Rhinolophus ferrumequinum: one gene and its partners. The protein of the gene in region 3 interacts with the protein of the main gene of each other region in a pairwise test. Links are inferred from orthologs where the notes say so. Each region holds a gene or a part of one and is shown on either strand. Other genes may lie near its edges.

Evidence for each region.
Region 1: the proteins of SGTA (region 3) and CDH15 interact in binary tests that used the Homo sapiens proteins (3 or more experiments, as listed by UniProt). The two-hybrid records come from large-scale screens. The link is inferred for Rhinolophus ferrumequinum from reciprocal best matches to the Homo sapiens genes SGTA and CDH15.
Region 2: the proteins of SGTA (region 3) and antileukoproteinase interact in binary tests that used the Homo sapiens proteins (3 or more experiments, as listed by UniProt). The two-hybrid records come from large-scale screens. The link is inferred for Rhinolophus ferrumequinum from reciprocal best matches to the Homo sapiens genes SGTA and SLPI.

What each region holds. Positions count from the first base shown.
Region 1 is NC_046298.1:33,753,196-33,757,013, reverse strand, and holds the start of CDH15 (cadherin-15), read right to left. Parts: upstream 2,615-3,818; 5' UTR 2,483-2,614; coding exon 2,441-2,482; intron 1-2,440. UniProt on the Homo sapiens protein: Cadherins are calcium-dependent cell adhesion proteins. They preferentially interact with themselves in a homophilic manner in connecting cells; cadherins may thus contribute to the sorting of heterogeneous cell types.
Region 2 is NC_046306.1:12,646,854-12,650,671, forward strand, and holds antileukoproteinase, read right to left. Parts: upstream 2,997-3,818; 5' UTR 2,959-2,996; coding exon 2,874-2,958; intron 1,969-2,873; coding exon 1,807-1,968; intron 1,376-1,806; coding exon 1,227-1,375; 3' UTR 406-1,226; downstream 1-405.
Region 3 is NC_046301.1:60,670,308-60,673,907, forward strand, and holds the start of SGTA (small glutamine-rich tetratricopeptide repeat-containing protein alpha), read left to right. Parts: upstream 1-1,053; 5' UTR 1,054-1,175; intron 1,176-3,600. UniProt on the Homo sapiens protein: Co-chaperone that binds misfolded and hydrophobic patches-containing client proteins in the cytosol. Mediates their targeting to the endoplasmic reticulum but also regulates their sorting to the proteasome when targeting fails.

The DNA of each region.
Region 1 (3,818 bases), on a different chromosome or scaffold from region 3:
GACCCAGCTGTCGACCTGGCCCAGAAAGGCATCCCCCCACCCTCACCCGCGTTCCCCTCCAGCTGCTGCAGGCTTCAGAGAAGGAATGAGGATGGCCACGCAAACGGGGGTAGGGAGGGGAGCTGTTTCCTCTGCCTGCCCCCCTCTGCTGGGACGAACACCACAACATAACTGCCACCAGGCTCCTGTCCTCCTTGGAGAGGACAGTGGTCCAGGAGCAGGCTTCCGCCTCTGCTTCGGTTACTATCACCCTAATGAGGGGCTGACAGCCCCGCCCTCTACTGGAGGAGATGGGTGAATCTGCTGTGGGTGCCATCCTGTTCCAGGCACTTTTCCACATTGCCTGGGGTTCTCCACACTTTGCAAAGCTCCCAGGAGTGCCACTGAGGCCCCATTTTTCTTCCAGACACCCTGTGGCTCACTGGCCAGACACAGGCTTGGGGCCCCTCCCAGCAGGGTGTGGGTCTGCCCTGAATCATCCATGTTACCCCAATCCAATCCCTCTGCCACCCCCAGATGGGGTGGGGTCCCCGAGTAAGCCCAGCTACTTGAGATGCTATGGGTTGAGGTGGGGGCGACAAAGGTCGGTTCTCACTCAGCCCCCTGGATGAGATTTTAGGGGATACAGGCAGGGGAGGGCCATGCTTCATCCAAGGCAACGGATCTGTGTAGTCTGGTCTCCAACTACCCCCTGAGCACCCTCCCCCCACCAGCCCATGCTGGGCCTGGGGCCAGCCTGCCTTGGGGGCTCCTGGAGGTGGAGGAAGAAGTATCCAGAGGTCGCCACAGGACCCATGTGGCTGGACAGGAGAGAACAAAAGTCTGAAAGCTGAGCTGGGTGGGGGAGGGGTGGGCAGGGTCCTGACAGACAGATTTAGGCAGGTCCAGCAACCACTCCCCTGTTCCCCTGGCTCTCCGCACTCCCCTCACACCGGAGCTAATTTGAGCACTGGTTGCGGGAACTCGAGCAGCCCAGAGGCCCTCACTGGCTGGTCCCCCACCAGCACCCGATCCTGAAGGCTCCAGTTGTCTGGAGGAGGAGGGATTCTTCAGTAGCCCTGGGGGAGGGGAGAGGAATCTGAGAGGGACTGACTCCCCTTCCCTGCAGCAGAGTGAAAGGTGAACATCCCTAGACCCAGAGAAAGGGGTCTGCAGGAATATACCTGTGAAGGTGCTGGGGCAGAAATGCCGTTCCTAGGCCAAGTGGGGAGGGAGCACGGGAGGCGTGGAGCCTTCTGGAGTGGATCCCAGTGTGTGGGGGCATCCAGGGGTACGGTCTCCCAGCAGAGGGCTGGAGGGGCCAGGCCATGCTGGGCCAAGGGTGACTAGGCTGTGCTGAGCCAGCTGGACAGCACAGGACTAGGCAGCAGGGACACTGTCTCCAATGGGGGACAGTGGGAAGGCCCAAAGGCGAGGGAGGAGGTGGACGGAGCCATGGGGCTAGGTGCCCGGAGGGGCCAGCTGCTGGAGGGTCCGGCTGGCGGGCATCTGGTCAGCTGCCAGGGCTGAAACCTGAGCTGGCCAGCTGGAGCTCGGAGGTCTGTGAGAATGAGGGGGACTCAGAAGCCACTATGGTGGGTGCTAGGAAGCTGTCTCTCCTCACCAGCATCCAGAGCTGCCTGATGGGCCTGGAACTGTAATAGCAAATGATGGTTCTACGTGACCTCTGCCTGGCCCTGGCCGTGGCCCCTGGCCTCTGACCTGTGACCTTGGCTTAGCCCAGTCCCCTGAAGGCAGGAGGCCATTGAGGCCACATGCTCCATTCCTGGCCTAGGCATTGAGGAGATCCAGGGGGTGCCCATTGTGGGGAGGAGGGGGTGGCCTGTGCTTCCTTCTACCCATCCTACTCCCTCATTGGGGAGGCCGGGGGACCAGCAAGGAGTGTGCAGGGTGGTGGGCTGTGTGCTGGGACCTGGTTCCCCTGGGCACAGGGCCCTCCCAAGGAAAAGTGGGTTCCTGGAAGGTAGAGCCTGAAGCTGCCAACGCTGGCAGGGCACACGGAGGGGGGCTTGGACTCCCCTCAAGACTAACGAATGTCATCCGCCAACTTGGCCTGGGGTTCCTACAGAGATCTAGCCTGCCAGCAACTCCAGCTGGGCAGTTCCCCACTCTCCCTGCCTCCCACCACAAGACTGACTACTCCAGTTCCCAGTAGAGCTGAGGGGCACACCTCAGAGGGAGGGGCTGGCCTGCTAGGCGGTCTCCTGGCCAGCTCGGCTCCCTGTCCAGTCCAGGGGGAGGCAGTTCCACTCCACTTTGGACCCTCCTACCCCCGGGACCCAGAGCGCCCTGGACAGCGCTGCCCCACCCAGGACCATCAGCTCAGGGGCCCCTAACGGCAACCAGGGCCAGTAGTACCGGGGACGACGGGGCGACACACTCTAAGACACCGTTGGGCAGTGCAGGGGGCCAGGGACCCCCGCAGGTGCCCATGCCTTACCTGGGCTAGCAGCCCGAGGGCGAGAAGGAGCACGGTTTCCATGGGCCGGCGGCGGGGCGACTGGCCGAGTGTCCGGCCGGGCCCGAGCTGTACCTCCTGCTTCGACAAAACCCGGCTGAGTGACAGCACAAGTGCGCGGGCGGTGGACAGAGTGAGTGACTACACGTGGCCGGGGCGGGGCCTGGTGCTGAATGACAGCACAAGTGCGAGGGCTGGGGGGCCGCATGTGTGCGTGGGGGGAAATGGGGGCTGGAGGGCGGGAGGTGGAGCCGGCGGGCTGAGTGAATGACAGTACGAGTGTGGCGGCGGGCCTGGGGCTGAGTGACAGCACAAGTGCGCGGGCGGGGCCGGGGCGGGGCCGAGTGAGTGACAAAATGTGTGCTGGGCGGAGTGGGGGGGGCTGGTCCAGGACAGAGTGACAACACATGTGCAGGGGGCGGGGGGAGGGGCGGGACCTGGGCTGAGTGACAGCACGCGTGTGGGGGCGGGGACTGGGCTGAAGAACAGCACACGTGTGGGCTGGGCTGGGCGATGAGTGACAGCACAAGTGTTAAGAGGGCGGGCCAAGGGCTGAGTGACAGCACGTGAAGCCTCTCGAGAGGCTGAAGGCAGGCCCAAGGACAGGCCCTGGCAGGCCGGGGAGTCAGGCAGCCGTCCTGGGATGCACAGCTTGCAGGGTCAGGCCATGGAACCAGGCCTGTCAGAAAAGGCAGCATTCTGTGAGGGTTGGGCTTTCTCTCTCTCTTTCTCTCTCTCTCTCTCTTTCTTGGTCCCCAAACTCGCCAGGCACACTCCTGCCTCAAGGCCTTTGCAATGGCTGTTCCCCCTGCCTGGAATGCTCTTCTCTGCTCTTTTCCAGGCTTGCTGCTCGCTGCCTTGAGGCTTTGTCTAATGGCATCTCTCCACCATCCTACTAGACACTGTTACTACCCAGCATAGTTATCTCCCATCTCCAATCCCTCTTGCTGAATTTGTTCCCTGCTTGGGGTGGAGCTCCCCTGGGGCGGGGTTGTTCCCTTCGGACTCCCAGGGCTAGCACAGCGGAAGGCCAGGCACAGACCCAGCCTCCCCCACTCCAGTCAGAAGCCTTTTCTTCTTCCTCTGGTCTCTGGTCTCCTTGGTTGGCAGGTATTTGGTTAGGATCTGATCGCTCTCCTCAAGACCCTGCATGCCTGGTGTGCATGTGTGCGTCTCTCACAGGTCCAGCAGAGGTAAGGGAGTAGGGAGAGGGAAGAAGGGGAGGAAGAACCTGTGGACCAACGTGCTTTCTTCTGAGCAGGAGCAGTGGGGCATGGAGCTGCTGACCAGCCCCCGCCTTAGTGCGGGGAGCCCGGGTGTGGGCCTTCTCTGTCACAGGAGCAGGATGGGGCCTCTGCTC
Region 2 (3,818 bases), on a different chromosome or scaffold from region 3:
CAGGACTTAAACCCATATCTGCTTGACTCCAAACTCTCTTCTTTCCACTTCACAGGTTGTGGGTGAAACCCTGTGCATGCGGATATTTCGTTCTTCATCTCACCCGTCATACTGTAGACCAGACTCAATGAGTCAAGGAAGATAGAAGTGTAGAGAAAACTTTGTACATTTATTTGTTCATTAATCAACAGACAGTTCCTTTTGTGTGCCAAGCCTCATGTTGGATGCTGGGCGTACGTTGATAAAACAGGTCCAAACTTAGACCTCAAGAAAGTATTGGTTACAAAGCTACATCTTCATCAAGGTACTCTCATTTTCTCCAGGCTTCAGGGGTGGGGGTGCGGCAGGAATCCCCAGACCGCAGATACCAGGAAATCATAATGGTTTTGAACTGATAAAAATAAATTTGTGGAAAGAAAATAAAACAGAGCCTCAGCACAGGAACAATCCAAGTAAGTGCCCCTTACATCTTTCCCCTTCTGCCATCACGCCCGAAATCCCTTGGGATAAAGAGAGTGCAAGAGAACACGGTGCTGGAATAGTTGAAACAGTACTGGTCTTTCATCTAGGAATCTAGAACAAATTCAGGCTTTTCACTGACTCTCTGCTTTAGTCTTCCCTCTGGTAAAATCAGAGCATCGGGCCTCCAAATCTGTGCATCATACTAGGGTTTCCTGTGGGTCCAGATAACCCAACCAAATGAGGCCACAACCATAGCAATACTCAATGCACATAGGACTTCAATCTTAAAAAGTACTTTTACAGGTAGTATCTCAGTGGATATTAGGTTGGTGCAAAAATAATTGCGGTTTTTAATGGAAAAAACTGCAATTACTTTTGTACCAACTAATATAATTGTGTCCATTTTACAGATTAGGAAACAAAAGTTATGGAAGATACAGTCAGTTGCTCATAGTCACACAGTTAGTCAGAGGCAGAGATGATATTAAAAGATAGAACTTGTGCAGCCTTGTGACACGGCTCCTTCCTCCTAGTTCATTCCAAGAATCCTTCCCTCCCAGGACCCAGCACTACCAATCACAAGTGAGCCTGGAGACTTCTTGTTTGGAGAACAGGGGGTGAATACTGTTGAAGGGCAGAGGATCTGCTTGGTGGTGCGGGCTGCAGGGAGACGCTAAGCGTCCCCCTTTACCTGGAAGAGCACACGGAGTTTGAGGCTGTATTAGGATGGGGGGAATGTGGACTTGCCAGATCTTCTCCTTACCTCACACTGGTTTGACACATGAGTTTCCACACATCCCCTTGCAGCACTTGAAACCGTTCAGGCAGTGGCTGTCATTCAGGCAGTCGTCTTTGGGGCTGAGCATCTTACACTGGCCAATGACTACTGGACAATTCTCAGGGTTGACCGCAACTGGTGAGAAGAAAGCCACTACTCAGAGGCTTGATCCCCTAGACACCATCCAAGCTCCCTTCCCCATCTCTATCCCATGCATGGAAATCAGGTCCTCCCCTACCTCCGTACCCAAACAGAGTCAAGCGCATGTCTTGAAGAAGATTCCTTCCCACTGAGGAGGCTCCCAGCAGTGTTGTAAATGTCTGAAGGACAGATTGACTCATTGACTGACTGACTGCTGTCAATGAGTTGACTCATGGACTGGCCAATGGCTACTGGCTTACCTACTGACCAACTGAAAACCTGAGAATGCTGAGCTGGGAATGGACGAGGCCTGATTCTGCCCCATTATCCAGCCTAGTTCAGAGAAGCCCCCTCCACTTCTCCAAGATGCGTGTCCTCACGTTCAAATTTCCCTGGTCCCCCTTTCCAGGACTCTACTTCCTCACCTGGCTTTGATGGGTCTACAGGATCCAAGCATTTGATGCCACAAAGGTCAGGACAACATTTCTGCTTCTCTGGACACTGCCAGTCACTGTGGCACTGAGGGGGTTCATAGACAAGGCACATCGCCGGGGATATGAAGGGGCAGGCTCCATATTTAGATTTTTCTGAAGGGTAAGAACAAAGGAAGGAGAAAGATTTGATTCTGAGTCATGACCATAATCCTGGACAAGGAACCAGCTTCTCAGGAGGGGAGAGAAAACCTAACCCAGGTGGCTGACCCCAAAAGAAGGGAAGGAGCAGTTAGGATTCCAGTTTTAAGGCAGGTGTGGGGCAGTGGCAAGCTCAGCCAAGCTCTCAACCAAGAGCGTGTCAATGGCCCAGGGAAGAAGACACAGATGGTGGTGTGCTGGTAAATGTTTTAAGAGGGAGATTTTGTAGTGTTCGCCAATTTCCATGGTGTAAATACTCCCTTCACAATTGATTTCAAGCTACCAATGTGATGTCAACTAGCCCACAAAAGTCTTGAAAATTTACCAGTCAGCTATTGCAAGCCAGTATGAGCCAGTTCCAGGACCCAGCTGCATAGAGCTCACGGTTAGGTGTTCCCGGCCCAGGTAGAGGGAGAGATACACCCTGGCTGGGAGGAACACAGAGAGGGGCAGTGATAGCAGGAGAGACAACTCATCAGAGATTGAAAGAAAGAGAGCAGATCAACTGATAAGTAAATAGAGAAAGAGAAAGTGACCATCAAAAAAGAGCTAGTAAGAGAAAAAGAGAACAAGTTGGAAAATTACACAGATGGAGACGAAAAGAATGTGACAGAGAAAACGACCAAACAGTAGAGAAGGCACCGTAGAGAAAGAAACAGTATGACAAGTACTGAGGTCAACAGGTCCATTTGGTGAAAGGTGGGTTTCCAGGAGCTCAGAAACTCTCTTGGTTGAAGTCCTCGGAGAGATGCTTGAAATTACGGGCCATAGGCTGGACCACTGGAAATATGGCTTCCAGGTCACCTGGGCTAAAAGGAAGAGGCCATGCCGAGAACCTGGATGGCCTGAGACTGACTCACCTTTGCTAGCCCCTTCCACAGACCTCAACGTCAGGATTCCAAGGGACAGGAGCACCACAAAGGGGACCAGGCTGCTGGGCTTCATAGTGAGAGCAGGTAGGGCTGAGGTGGCCAGGGCCCGCCTTTGCCCTTATACCTCTCCCTGTGGGTGTGGCCCAACCAGAATGGTCTTGGCTCTCCCAGCTGCTATTTCATAAGCAGGAAACTCAGGCAAAGACAGTGACCTTGCCATGTAGAGTGTTGGTGGCTCTTTTCTGCTCTAGGCAAGAGCCTGGGGCCCAGGAAGGAAAATATAGAACTTGGAGGGGGACATGTCACCAGAATGGCCAGGAGCCATTCACAAACACTTTAGAGAACCCTGAACCACCTGCCTTTGGGGTGAGAGGGGGAGGGGAAAAAGGGAGATTAAAGGGCCGAACGGAGGGACATAATGGAGCTTCTCAGAAACCTGGAACAATCAGTGAGGTGTGACCCTTCAATGAACCTTGACTTTCCCACACTCCCGGACTCTTAGGGATTACCCAAAGTCCCTCCCTTCTGTAAGCGTCAGCTGACACATTCACTCACTTTCTCCTGGCTTGTTCTGATATAATACCTGTAGTTCCAGGCACTCTGCGGGTCACAAAGGGGTTTCTCAAAGAATCCTCGTTGAATAACAGGTGCAGTGGGGACAGCAATGAAAATCTCTTTGGGCCTAAGTCTTCCCAGCTGGGAAGTGGGGATAATAACAACTGACTAGGTCACCGAGAAGGATTTGAGATAAGCAGGGGAAAGGACATTGAGGACAGTGGACACACTACCCCATGGCATTGTGATTGGAAGGGAAACTGATGTGAAGCAAATCACATTGGAACCAATTTTTCTGAGATAAACTAATAAGACTCTTTTCAGCAATGAGTTGAACAGCCAGGTAGAAAAAGAGCACCACTTAACAGGCTCAAAAAT
Region 3 (3,600 bases):
AAAAAAAACAAAACAAAAAACAGAAACGTAAGCAATTAAGTATGCTCGAGAAAGCTTCAGTAAACGGATCCAGAACTTCAAACAACAGGTGTTTCGAAACAACGCTGTTAAAACAAACAAAATCTTAAACCGTCTAAAGTACCCAGAAAGAAAAATTTACTAGAACTAAACTTCAAAAACAAACCCACCTCCTTCATTTCTGCAAAAGAAATTAAAATAATCCAGGGCGTTAAACGTGCATACGTTTTAAATATAGAAACGAATCGGCAGAACTCTTCTGGCAACTTTAACATCAGTGGTAGGCAGTTCTGAGTCATCCTAGGGTATTTCTCATCACTTACCCTCTATTAAGTATACCAAGCTTAATTCTATGTTAGTCTTCATTTCCACTGTTCCCTGTACGTGGAGTGTTTGTCCTCATTCTTCAAATCCAGTTAAAAGGCCCTCCCTGACGATCCCAGCCAACTTACCTCCCCAATCACAAGCACAACACCCCATTTTTTCTTCACAGCGCTTGCCCATTAAGTGAAATTTATTCATTTATATACTAGTGTACTATACTATAATCCGTCTACCCCAATACAAGGTAATGAGAGTGAACACTGCTGGTCTTTATACTTGGTTTGCAATACCTGTTTGTTGACTATTAGGGACCTGCAGTGAACAATCTCTGTATTCCTTTACAATTTATGGCTTGAAAGAATGAATGAATGCATTCGTGGGTAAATGGGTGGATGAATAAATGAACAAAGATAGTGGATATCAGTTGCTCGCATTCACAGAGCGCCTGCGTCCAATTAGGCGCCCGAGACCCAAATGCTGCTGTACCACGTGGCCAGCTCGGCGCCTCGTGACCCGCTCCGCTATCACGGAGAAATCCGCCACTGTCCCACCATGCACCGCTCTCTTCCCGCTGTAGAGGACGAATCAGTCTTGATTTCCGGCCTTCACTCGGTCGCAGAGGTCAGTTGCCCTAACGACCAGCTCGTTCCCGCCTCTAACCTTCGTCACTTCCCCCCACGCCCACCTGAATAATTGACGCGCTTGCGCAAAATGACAGCCAGCGCGCGAGGAGGCTCTTTCCGCGCAGGCGTCGCGCCTGGGGGGGCGGGGTTGGGCGCCGCCGCGGTGCGCAGGCGCAGCCGTCGGTGGGTCGGGGTTCGGCGGCCTGAGCGGTGAGTAGGTGGGCACGGCGCTGAGCCGGGCGGGCCTGGGGTCCGCGGCTCGGGGCTCTCGGGGCCTTGGGGTCCGTAAGGGGAGATCGGGCTGAGGCTGGGGTCGCCGCGATCCACAACAGTGTGCTGTGTGAGTGGGCGGCACGGAGGGGAAACTGAGGCTGGGTGGCGTCGGGCAGGCCCTTGCCAGCTCTGGCCTTCCTCCTCCGCACCCCAGGCCCGGGAAATGCTAGTTCTCAGGCCCGTGGGTAGACAACGGGAAGTAAGAGCGCCCACATGTAGTTATACCGCTATGGGTGTCCGCTGCTGTCGGGAAACAGCCCCTTTCAATTGGGGGGCCCCCATTCGTGAGGCTCAGGTCGGGGCTCCTGTCCCAGCGCCGCCGCTCTCCATCTGGGTGACCTTGGCCACCCTCTTGACTTCTCAGAGTCTCAGTTTTCCACTCTGTAAAACGGGCGTCGTCACAGTCACTGCCTTGGGGGGGTTCGGGACGGGGGGTGGTGGTTTTAAAGCCACAGAGCGCAGCGCAGAGTGAGAGCACAGAGGGATCAGCAGTTAGTCTTATTTCACTCTTAGACTCTTCTGCATGCTGTACGCGAGGCGGGAGAAATCTGGGCTTGAGGACCAGCTCCACCACCTCCCGCTGGCTGTGTAAGCTTGGGCAAGTCGCTTTCTCTCTCTGAGCAGCACCATTCTTCTGCTAGAGAGACTGTAGAAATATATGCCTGCTAGGGTTATTGTGAGGTTAAATATACCTAGAACATTTTTTAATCAGATTCCTGGTGCTTGTTAAGAGCTCACTGGAGAATGACCAGTCTGTTTTTCCTCTCTCTAGACCAGTGGTTTTGTCCACCAGAGAGGACACTGGGCAATGGGGACATCTATGGTTGTCATGACTGGGGTGTTGCTGGCACTGAATGGGTGGCGGCCAGGGGTGCTGCTCAACACCCCCACAGTGCCCAGGACGGCCCCCCAGAGAATGGTCAGCCCCAAATGTCAGCAGTCCCAAAGTTAAACCCTACCATTATACCACTGGTTCTTCACCAGCAAGAGCTTGAGGAGGAGGGTTTTGAGCGGGGAGGCACAAGAAATCATGTGCAAGGTTTTGTGTGTGCACCCATTTTTGTGGGGACAGGAAAGGGTACTTTGGCGTTTAAGCTCTGGAGTCAGACTGCCTGGGTTCAAAACTGATTTGTGACTTAGCTGGGTGACCTTGAGAGGCAACCTATCCATCTAAGCCTCAGTTTTCCTTTCTGTGGGATGGGGATTAGACAAAGCAACCCAGGCATCCAGCAAACTGGTCAGGGGAGCAAGTCCAGCTGCAGCTTGTTTTTGTAAATGAAGTTTTATGGATAGAGCCACACCAATCGCATAGGCTTTATCTGTGGCTGCTTTTACATTGTATTAGTAGTGTTGAATCGTTGCCACAGAGACCCTGTGGCCTGGGAAGTTGAAGGAATTTACTCTGGCCCTTTTCTGAAAATGTTTACTAACCTCCGAAATAAGCCATTGCATGTACAGCACTTAGCTCAGTGCCTGGAAGGTCCTTGGGACTCCAAGGATTTCACCTGAGGTTTACAATTCAGTCTTCTGGAAGGATGAGTGACTGTAAATGGAGTTAACCTCGGCCCCAGGTCGAGAGCTGTAGTCTTACTCTATCCTGCATTTTTTCTGCCAAATCCCAATGCTGGCTGAGGTAGGAAATGCTCAGTGAGGACTGAAGGAATAAAGGGGATTGTGAGTAGGTAGGTGAGACTGAAGATCTAATGAGCAAACCAAGTCCCAAAGAGAATGACCTCCACAGGGAACCTGGTTGTGTGGTTCTGAATTTAACAGTGACCTTATGTTGTCTTGAGTCCATATGGATCAAACGCCCCCAAGTGCTGGGGTTCAAGGGCAGATGATCTATCCAATGGCCCACAGTCCACTGGGGTAAGACAGGCCAGGAAAGTGTCCTACAGCCTTTTAGGAGGTGCTGGACCAGAGGTGGGAATCGTACTTGGTCTTTGCTGGAAAAAGAAGGTGTCCAGACTCTGTCTGAGGCAGTGACTTTGAAGCTTAGTGTGGAAGATAGAGTAAGAGTTTCCCCAGTGGGTCAGAGGAAAGGCGAGCAGTCGGTTTGCGTGGAGCACAGAGGGTTCAGATTAGGCCCAGCGGGTGACACACCCATGGTGACGGGTCATGTGTGCGCCCACGTGACGTTTCAGGGAGCTGTTGAGGATTTGTTGAGTGTGCAGGACATCCTGGTGGCATTTTTGAAGAAAACAGGGCTGGGCTGGAACCCGAGTTCTAGTTTGGGGGCAGCCCTTCTTGGATACAAGAGGGGTTCTAGGATAGGAGGGAGGAACATGGTACCAGCTTGCAGACACCTGTGTCTGTGACAGGAGCTGTGGAATGCCTGCTGGAGGGGCAGAGCGCCCACGGA